Daphnia pulex: one gene and its partners. The protein of the gene in region 3 interacts with the protein of the main gene of each other region in a pairwise test. Links are inferred from orthologs where the notes say so. Each region holds a gene or a part of one and is shown on either strand. Other genes may lie near its edges. The genes, in order: peroxisome biogenesis factor 10-like, peroxisomal biogenesis factor 19-like and peroxisome assembly protein 12-like.

Region 1 (3,625 bases), on a different chromosome or scaffold from region 3:
GTTCAGTCGTTTGAAACGTTCTCATCCGTTTTTTCTTTCTTTTTCCAGGTCAAAATGCTACCGCGTACTGGAATGGTAAAAGGAGACACGAGTCATTATGATGTTTTCTTTTCGACACGATCTCCGTTCCGGCGAAAGTAGATTTATTTCGTTGATTTGCTGCCCATCTTGTTTTAAAAATTTCCCATGAAGTAATGTTTTAGTTGGCCGCTAGGTGTCGAGTGCTGTCAGTTGAAGCCATATTTTAATACAAAATAGTTGTGGACTAGTGCGTACTCGATACCCTGGGTCTGACTGTGTCCTCTTTAGGGAAAAAGCACGTGACAATTCAAGAAAATGCTTCCGACGAACGAGACAGCCTGTTTGTCTAGATGACGATATTACAATCTTCTGATAAATTCAGGTTAGACTTTTTGACTAATCTCTTCTTTGTGTCTCGTAAAATGTCTCCTCTGGTTAAGATCTAAGACGCGATTCCCTTTTAAATCGAACGAATGTGGATTTTTGAATGAAGAAGGCTGGCTCGTCAAAAACATAGCGAGTTTTATTTCAACACATTGTGCAAAACATTTTCACAAAATAGCTGTTTGGACTCTGACATAGATTATTCATAATTCAATAATGGCACAATTCTTGAAGGTTGCACACTTTCTCTGCAAAGAGGACACTCATGCTTGGTTTGCAACCATTGCAAAATACATTGCCAGCAGAACAGGTGGCCACATGGGGTGCAGGCTGTGTTTTTTCTTGAATCCCAACAAAGGGAACATTTCGCTGTTGTCGAGGGTGATGTGCCAGCACATTTTTCACTAGAACTGTCCACCACCTGTGTTTAGCATTTGCTTAGCTTTAATGAGGGTTTCAAAATGGAAAGGAATTTTGTTGAGAAATACTTACCGAAATTGCACTGGAATTGTTTTTGGAACTGCCATTTTTCCATTTGGTAATGGAATTTGTAAGTAAAAGTAGAACAAGGTGTGTAAGGGCCATTTGCCCAATGAACTTGAATGTTGGGTTGTAATTTTCTGTTTTCAAGTAGTCTGTAGCGAATACCTAGAAATAGAATATTGGATTAATTTGCTTGGGTATTTGTAATCTAATGCAGTCTTACGTAATGGATCTTGGCCATTCTCTGAGATAGCCTGTAGTATTTCCCGTACATGTAGAATAAAACCAAGTTGAGTCGCCCCACCCAAAAACTGCTGCTGTGAATCAGCTCTGTCAGCAATAAAATGTAATCTCTGGCTTTGGGTGTTAAATCAGGGATATTTTCTGGATTTCGTAGCCAGGTGTCCAGCTTTTTCATGACTTGACTGAACAGCCGTGGTCCTAATACTTGCAGAGTGATGGCAGTAAGCCTTGTCTAAATAGAAACTTTGTTAATGTCAGGTACTAGTGCTTGTTATATTGTTATTTACCAATTTAGAGGGAAGAGCCCTTAATGTTGGATTGACTTGTATGAGCCCTACATATTCCTCTCCGAGGGTTTGATTGTCCAACAAGGTGGTCAAGGTGTAATATAGGAAGACACAGGTGAGGTCCGATAGCCACTGGACCTTCAGCCATGTCTGATTTCCTGTGTGTACAGCAAGATGGTAAACAATGAGAAGGTCACTGCTAGAAAAAATTTCCACTTAAAAACAGTTGTTTACCGAAAAGACGTTGTACAATGTCAGCCAGTTCGTTCTTGATGGTGTTGATATAAGACTCATCCTTTTGGGAGGCTCGAAGGATCTCGGGTGGATTGGCTTCCACGAACACGGCCATATTTTTTAAGAAAAAAAGAAAACAATCGAAAAAACTTGTCTATACTCTCACGGAGAGCCTGTTGTAAAGGACGGACAAATGGTGGCGACCATCCACTGGTTTAGACGTCCGGGGAATGAATAAATATGGTGATCATTCCAACGAAAGCGAGACTCGAGAGAGTGACCTTTGAAGCTCCCGTGTGTAGATGATGACACAATCGGGTCAAGGCCATTTGTTATTTTCTATGGTAAACCACAACGGCGCAGACCCGGCCCGACGTCGTACGTCGATGTGTTACAAGAAGTGAAAATGTAGGTCTTTCCCATAGACACACACAAACGTTTTTATTGCTTCTGTGTACTCTTATTTTTTAAATAGCAACTTTCTTTCGACTTGGTTTTTGGCCTCGAGCAAGATTATTACGGTTATCAGTATATTATTTTACACGACTTTCTTTTGATTAGCTTCTTTATTTAATTGCGTTGACGGCCACTATGGCGTAAAACTATTTTGACGTGTAGCCGTCGAGAAGTGGCAATGTTGAGCGTTAGATGGCGTGCGAGTAGCTGTCGACTGCTTGTAAAATACACAGAGAGGGTGGTGTTGGGGGGGAAGGAAGAAGCCCCTGTGGACAACTAGGAGGAAATAGACTAGAGGAGCTCAACTACTACTACAGAGGCGTTAGCAATGGCTGCCCTCAGTGTGTAAAGTGCCCTCGCGCGTTGCAGAAACAGGCCGGAGGAGTTCATCTCCGGTAGTTTTTTTAGTTGTTCAGTGTAGGAATCAGTCAGTCGAGCTGTAATCATTAAAAAAATTAATCTTTAAACAAGCAGAGAGTTTTGATCAGCAGTTTTAATTCATTAATATATATTATCCATCCCCTCTACTTTTGAGATTTTTTCAAAAAAATCATTCACCCCAAGCGAAAAAGTGTGTGTGTTTGAGTGAGTGTGTGCGAGTGTGTATACAAGTCAATCCCCCCACACATATATTTCTCTCTTCTTCTTCTCCAAAAACTCGCCGTCGTCGTCGTTCTTCTTCTTTTTACACACACACACACACACCAAATAACAAAACAATCCCCTTCGACTTCCGTTTTGCTTTGGCTGCTCTTCTTGTCCTAATCGAAACTGTAGAAGAAGTGAACTCGTCTCTCCACTTCTTCATTCAATTTCCTTCTCTTGATTTTTCTTCCTCCCGGCGTCTCCCCTATCTCTCTCTCTCGGCTGTAATCCAAGACACACACACACAGACAGACAAGTCAGAAGAGAGAAAATTTTAATAATTCCGACTGGAACATTTTCAACCTTCCAAAAAACTCCCGAGGTATTGATTCTCTTTTTTGGAAAAAATATTTTAGACTCGCCTAAAAAATATGTAGGGTTCTAGACCCACTATTTTTGTGTAATCTGATTATAAATGTATCATTGTGGAATGTCGATCGATCGACTTTTTATCTTTTTTTCCCCCCTTAAAAAACTTAACTTTTTTTATTTTCTGTTTGTTGCAGTCATCCGAGCCCTTGTGTAACTTTTTGGGAACCCGGGCACAGGTGCCGTGGATAGGAATCTAATCAATTAATCAACCAACGTGGCGAGGCTATTTCGGCTGGAATCAAATAGAAAAAAGTTTTATTTTTGACAAGTGAGTTTTTGTTTCATTAACTAAGCGATTGACAAAATTTTTAATTTTCTTATTCTCTTGATTTTTAAGGTTTCCAAAGTTTGTGAAAGAAGATGGACAACATGGATGCTCACTCGCAGTCGCAGCATGGCGACAACACCACCGAAGTACCCAACGATCCTGGGTAAGAGAACAAAACATTTCTTTTTGATTCATTTCCCTGATATTATAGCGCCTGTATAATAATTATTAT
Region 2 (3,559 bases), on a different chromosome or scaffold from region 3:
AATGCCAAGACCGCCTGTTAAAGTTGTTACTCCAGCAAAAAGGATTCCCCTTGAAACATTTTCCTCGCGTTCGTTCTCGATTGCTAACTCAGGAAACCGAACAGGTATTTAAAAAATATAGTATATGTATGCTTTAATGATCAAGGTGATTTTAACTTGAATTAACTTGTCCGTTTCACAGGCAGCAATGGCCAGGTACAACTCTGGCAGTTTCTCCTTGAGCTGTTGACCGATGTGAATTTCCGGGATGCTATTTCTTGGCTTGGGACAGGAGGAGAATTCAAATTAAATAACCCCGAAATGGTGGCTCAACTATGGGGAGAAAGGAAAAACAAACCACACATGAACTATGAGAAACTCAGTCGAGCCCTGAGGTATTATTATGATGGCGATATGATTTGCAAAGTAAGCGGTAAACGATTTGTGTATAAATTTGTTTGTGACCTCAAACAACTGTTGGGCTATTCGGCTGATGAACTTAATAAGCTTGTAACAGAGTGTGAGCAACGATCCAAAATGAGACGGGCAAGTTCGTCATACGTGTAAATACAAAACGTATTTGTTTAAATCATTGAGAATTGACGCCATTAATGATAAAATTAAGTTGTAATGCCGTTCAAACAATTTTTTTTAACGACCTTCTAATACCTTTTATAGCCCAATTTCAATAACAAAAACATGTTTTATAACATACTATATTAATTACATAACAACACAATTTTCGGCACCAGGTCCCATCGATTGAGCAAAATCCGCGCCACCGAAGGGATTCGGTAGCAGTTCAGCTTCACCAGCCAGTTCCTTGAAATTAAGATTTTTCATTAAATGAAAATCAATCAAATTATTCGTAGTCGCACTCACTTTAGGGGGATGGCCACATTCTTGCATTTGTTGCATCAAAGTTAATATCTTTTCAAAGCGACTATTTTTCGTCGCTGCATCATCAGTGTCGTTATCATTTTCGAATTCGGTACACACTTGCTGCATAACGGCGTATTGGCGGTTGTATTTTTCAAATTGCGCAGGTTCTAATTTCGGCCGATTGTCTGCGAGCCAATCTGGGTACTAAGGAGATAACAATAAGTTATGAGAGACAAGATTGACTATCATCAGTTCTCAAGTGAATGCTTACCTTGCTAACAATCTCTTTGATAGATGGATAAAGCAACTCCTTTGATAACAAACTTTGAAGCATTCCTTGCATTGCAGGTAAAATGTCACCCAAACCTCCCATATCTCCACCAGCACCATCTCCAAATCCCCCATCTGGTCCAAATGCCATTTTTTCAAGCATTTTGGCTAATGTAGCTTCATCAGCTTCAGTCTATGGAAAAAATAAGGACATGTTAAAGTAAAAATAAAAAAGTTTGGTTTATCCTACCCACAAAAATTTACCTGAAGTGATTCTGTTCCTTCTGCTAAATAGCGTAGAGTATCAGCAAAGGATGCTCCCTGGTCTGGTTGTCTTTCAAATACTTTAGCTGCAGCTTCTTGTGATACCTTTAACAAACTTTCAGCAAATCCAGAATCACCACTGGCCCCTGGTGCTGTTTCTGCCATCATCAAACGAATATTTTTCTCAAATTCCAAACTCGCTTCTTGAATAAACTCCTCAGACCACACAACATCTGATACTTGATCTGTAGGTGCTGCTGCTTCGGCTTTAACATTGTCTTTTGTTTTGGGCACTTGCAGTGGCTTGTCAAATCCTTCCAGGGCATCTGTTACATTTAATGAATGTTTTATTCCTTTGTTGGCAAATAACTAGTTAGTTTAAACTACATACCGTCAAGTAAAGCGTCTAGTTCTTCGTCATCTCCTTTAGATTCTTCTTTAATATCTGCCGTATCTTGTACAGACTTTGGATCATTAGAACCGGTTCCACTCATACTGAAATGTATCTATTTACAGCAAAGTACAGAATTGTATAAGTAGAAATAGATTTCGATATCAATAATATCGACACAGGCTTCAAAACTTGCTCATCCGGAAATTTCGACAAGGAAAAGAGTGCAAGACCAGACAAGACGACGAAATACTACCTCATAAATAAAACGCGATGTTGCCGAAATCATTCGGTATTTAGTGATGGTTCGTGCGTGCGTGAATGAAGCAGATGCGCTTCATCATGATTCATGAATGCTTGTTTATTAAAATTATATTTGGCGTGAAAAATGAATTAAAACAAATCACTTTTTTTTTAGGTTTTGAATTTTGCGTCTTTATTGGGAGAGTAAAATGTATTTTTTGTTCTGAATAACAGAAGCGACTGCTCATTCATAAATATTTTCTAAACCTAACAGTAATATTTCGTAACATAGTCAAAATCAAAGATTTCCATTAGGGCGGTTGCTTTAAGCTTAGTCTTGCTTTAACAAATGAAAACAGAACATCGAACATGTCGTTATATCCCGTTGTTACCAGTCGAGCAGTCGTTACCATCCCGCCTTTGCTTCAAAGTTCAAATCAATTTCACTTACCTGCCAGACCCAAATTAAAAGCTATGAAAGAAGGAATTTTGAAAAAGTACGTTCAGTTGGTAAAGGTAATATGTCTTCCGACAAAATGACAGTAAAAATTGTGATATTCTATAACGTACACGGTGGTCTGCCTTGCCGCAATAGTGCTTGTCCATTGCTGATACCAAAATCAATACATGAGTAGTAGTTTTCACTGATCCTCCAATATCTTGCTTCGTTTTATTCTTCCTCTTCTCTTCTTCACGAATTGCTGTACTACCGATTCTGGAATGACACATCGCGAATGTTCACCAAATCAAGAAAATTCACCATCTAGCCTACCTGGTATGATTTCGAGATGGTGGAGTCATTTTTTTTTTTAAGGCAAACTTCAATTGCTTAAAAAAATAATTGACACATAATGTGTTGAATGCTGATAAAATGGAAATTCAAGTATGAATCAAAATGAGTGAACTTAAAAAAATGCAAGTAATGCATCTGTATTTCATTCATTAAAAATGTAAACATTCAACATGACCTGCACCAACCCAATTTCACCCCTGATACTAGTTAATAAAAAAATTTTGGTTTTAAACACGCGATCCATATTCTAACAGAGTTTTAAATCATTTTAGATAACAGCTTATAGCTGTAACGGATTAATAACCTTTATGTGATAAAGTTACAGGACGAACATTTAGGCTGCAATTTCTATTGGTAATGAATTCGGCTGAAGTTCGTTTGGGGGACATTTTTACTCTTTAAAAAAGACACAGTTTAACCACTGTTAAACGAGAACAAATGATCATAGCCAAATGATTCGTAGCACCTCCTAAGTACTAATAAGACCGGGGAAAACTGTATGGGTGCTCAGTATTTGCATGTAAGGAGAAACGATACACAAAAAGGAGAAAAGCACTGGAAGAGCACTTCAAGTTTAACGTGGAATTAAAAATAAAAATTTTCGATATGGGGAACAAATTGCTTTGATTGCTTTCGAGTTTCGGATCACCCTCTTAAAGCTCCATTCCTAAAGGGCATAACATTGAATGAAAGACTCTTTACTGTTCTCTAAACCATAATAATGAACTTAATGGACA
Region 3 (3,193 bases):
GAACCAAATGGAAAAACCTCTATCGAAAGTTTTTTCTTTTTTACGATTGGTTTGCCTGACATTTTGCCTACCAGAATGGTGTTGACAGAAAACGAGTTGTCGCCGTTCCCCACCAGACGACACTAGCGTAATAGGGAAGCCGCGAGAGGAAAAGTGGTGCACGCCTTGTGTGATATATTGCACTTGTGCAGTCAGACATGGGTTGGTTCGTCCCACAGCCCGACGCCAACGACATCTAGGCCCGGAATATCTTGATTAACTGAACGCCATCTTGGGAAAGAAACCTAAAACAATAACGTTAAACAGGGGCGTCCCTAAACTGCGAAAGCGAAACGCGAAACGCGAAACGCCTAAAATGCGGAAAAGCTGTGCGAAACGGACCAAAATTTTGGGACCGTTTCGCGGGACCAAATGCCGGAGGGCATACTAAAGAGCGAAACATCTTGCGAAACAAAAAGTTTTCCTTTTCATCACAGAGGTCCAAATTGACGGAGATTGCCGCCATTTTTCATTGTCTCCCGCTATGATGAGGCATTAAAGGAGGAAGGGGGGCAATCAAATTCGATTTCTTCGCCACTACCCCTGTATGTTTTCATGCGCATTTTACGATTATTAAACTAATGAAAGACATAGAGCAGCACGTTATGGTGATATTTTTAAATAATAAAATATTAGGTAATGGCCCAGGGATTATACATTACATTAAATAATTTAAATCAACCAGTAGGTACGTGCACAAAGAAAGAATCGGCCATAACAGTATGAGTGCCTTATATCAAGCTAAAAATCAAAGCTACCATGTTCCAAATCAAGCTAAAATTCAATCAGCTAAAACTTTCCTTAAAATTAAGAATGTTAATCTGATTGATACTGATACATGGAAACGAGAAGTTCCATTAATTTTTTTTATACCAATCTTCTAATTAAAAACACCTATTGCATATTGCATTCAAGGTATTTCGTATTCATGGTCAACACACAAATAGACCAGCGGACCAGCCATAAGGTGCGCGAAACTCGAAGTCTCGAAAATTTGAAACTCTTAACAAATTGTTTGTTGACGGCGTCCATTGTCGTCTGCTACCAAGACGTTTACACTGCGACGTTTCGCACACACCGATTTCGCAGTTTAGTACGGACCCAAAGACTAAAATGCGAAACAGGGTCCCAAAATTTTGGTCCGTTTCGCACAGCTGTTTCGCATTTTAGGCGTTTCGCGTTTCGCGTTTCGCTTTCGCAGTTTAGGGACGCCCTTAAACAGTGCTGTATTTTTGTTTGACACAAAAAAAGCAAGACAAATTCATGTAATAAAAACAACATTATGCCGTTTTCTTTTGAATAAGCAAGGTTTTTAAATTTGAGTACTTACGTTATGGCTGAAAGAGGGGCGCATTTAAGTCAGTTACTTCTAGATTCTAGTAGGCCATCGATTTTTGAGTTAGTTGCTCAGGAAGGACTTAATCAAGCCCTTCGTGGGACCATAAAGTTCGTCTTCAGGGTACGTTTGTAACACATTCAATTGAAATAAAAGAACTACCAACTCTATATCAATTGTAGGTGTGTGCTAATCATTATCCAGAAACATTTGGTTTATCATTTCGCTGGGCAAATGAAATTCAGTTACTATTTGATTGTTTTCTGCAAAACTATTACCTACGAAACTATGGTTTGTTGATAATTTTTCTTCAACTTATTTACATTTTTGAAATACGTCTTTGTGATTTACAGAAATGTTGTGCTTTTTTTTTCAGGAGCTTCATTTGCTGAAAATTTTTATGGATTAGAACGAGTCACAAAAGAAGACTGCACTTTGAATGGGAAAGGAACACTTCACTCTCTAATCAGTTTGACAATTCTGCCATATGCCTTGTCCAAATTAGATGCCTACTTTTCAGAAAGGCAGCAGCACAACCAGCAACATCCTGTTCTCAACTTTTCGAGTATCCGGTTCATCTATGATTTGACAGTCTTAGTGAACTGGATGCTCTATACATGGGGCAAATCTGTGACCCATTCACCTATTTTGCACCTTCTTGGATTGAAGTTAAAACATGGTGGTGACAACAGTAGCCCTGGCATTTCACTCACTAAAATAATTGAACTGAGTGCCTTCTTCATCCAATTTCTTGAGTGGTGGTTTACTAATCAGTCATCACAGGCTAAGAGTATGCTTTCCTTACCCATTCCACCTCCTCCACATTCCATTGTACAGAATCAACACTCCAAACCAAGGACTGGTGTTTGTCCCCTTTGTCAACAGCAATGGAAAAATGAGTGCGTTCTTCGCGTATCAGGGTAACTTAAATCATTAAGAAATACTTCGAACTGTAATTATATCTCACCATTTTTTTCACAGTTATGTTTACTGCTATCGCTGTATTTTGCCCTACCTAAAAGAGAATAACAAATGCCCCATCTCCAAGCTTCCAGCATCCCCAAATGACCTGATACGTATATTTGCCAACGCCGAGTAAACAACGTCCCAAAGATTTGCAGATTTCGATCCTGTGGAACAAATTGCACAATATTGATGTTAACTTACTTTCAAACAGATACATATAAATACAAGATTGAAATACATCTAGAAACATAATTAAATAAGTACGAACGAATTCCATCGCATCATTTATTAGACTGGTATCTCCATCGAAATCTTTTAAATATATGGGGAAGCGTTTCTCACATTTTACTCAAACACAAGCAAATGAAACAATACTCAAACAAATGTAACCGACGGATAGCTGGGCGTCTTTTGAGACCTCGAGGACATAACACAAACGGAAAAAAGGTAATAATAAAAATAAATAAATACATAATACGACGTCTCTTGCTATGTCCTTTTTCCCTTCTTTCACTATTCCATAAATGTATGCTTTTTTAATTTTGTTTTTTTAAAGGTGAGGTCGCGGTTTTATTAATTTATTCACTCTCAAAGTACGAGATGATGACCATCGGGATGTGGAATGTTCACCGTATTTTTGTTTTCATCGAGCTTTTTCATGAAACGCGGAGTAAATTTTAAAGACGGCCAAACCGAAACAATCGAGTGGAAAGCGCAAGTTTCCTTTCATATAAAAAGTATAAGGTGGGAGGGAGGAGGGAGACGAGGAGGGAGTGAGGACTGGAACAAGAGTGCAGGAGACGGTCGCCATGGATCCCCACTCGCTGACTACATTACACGATTCACGATTGG

The links.
Region 1: the proteins of peroxisome assembly protein 12-like (region 3) and peroxisome biogenesis factor 10-like interact in a two-hybrid assay, tested with the Homo sapiens proteins (4 studies listed by BioGRID, with this or other methods). The link is inferred for Daphnia pulex from reciprocal best matches to the Homo sapiens genes PEX12 and PEX10.
Region 2: the proteins of peroxisome assembly protein 12-like (region 3) and peroxisomal biogenesis factor 19-like interact in a two-hybrid assay, tested with the Homo sapiens proteins (4 studies listed by BioGRID and IntAct, with this or other methods). The link is inferred for Daphnia pulex from reciprocal best matches to the Homo sapiens genes PEX12 and PEX19.

What each region holds. Positions count from the first base shown.
Region 1 is NC_060026.1:15,822,262-15,825,886, reverse strand, and holds peroxisome biogenesis factor 10-like, read right to left. Parts: upstream 2,257-3,625; 5' UTR 1,768-2,256; coding exon 1,653-1,767; intron 1,577-1,652; coding exon 1,419-1,576; intron 1,364-1,418; coding exon 1,112-1,363; intron 1,054-1,111; coding exon 898-1,053; intron 827-897; coding exon 605-826; 3' UTR 524-604; downstream 1-523.
Region 2 is NC_060022.1:6,085,030-6,088,588, reverse strand, and holds peroxisomal biogenesis factor 19-like, read right to left. Parts: upstream 2,047-3,559; 5' UTR 1,890-2,046; coding exon 1,787-1,889; intron 1,722-1,786; coding exon 1,396-1,721; intron 1,325-1,395; coding exon 1,133-1,324; intron 1,066-1,132; coding exon 862-1,065; intron 802-861; coding exon 703-801; 3' UTR 588-702; downstream 1-587. Other genes in the region: DNA-binding protein Ets97D-like, read left to right, coding at 1-104, 182-546. UniProt on the Homo sapiens protein: Necessary for early peroxisomal biogenesis. Acts both as a cytosolic chaperone and as an import receptor for peroxisomal membrane proteins (PMPs).
Region 3 is NC_060025.1:2,869,023-2,872,215, reverse strand, and holds peroxisome assembly protein 12-like, read left to right. Parts: upstream 1-1,216; 5' UTR 1,217-1,372; coding exon 1,373-1,498; intron 1,499-1,557; coding exon 1,558-1,666; intron 1,667-1,751; coding exon 1,752-2,295; intron 2,296-2,356; coding exon 2,357-2,474; 3' UTR 2,475-2,580; downstream 2,581-3,193. UniProt on the Homo sapiens protein: Component of a retrotranslocation channel required for peroxisome organization by mediating export of the PEX5 receptor from peroxisomes to the cytosol, thereby promoting PEX5 recycling.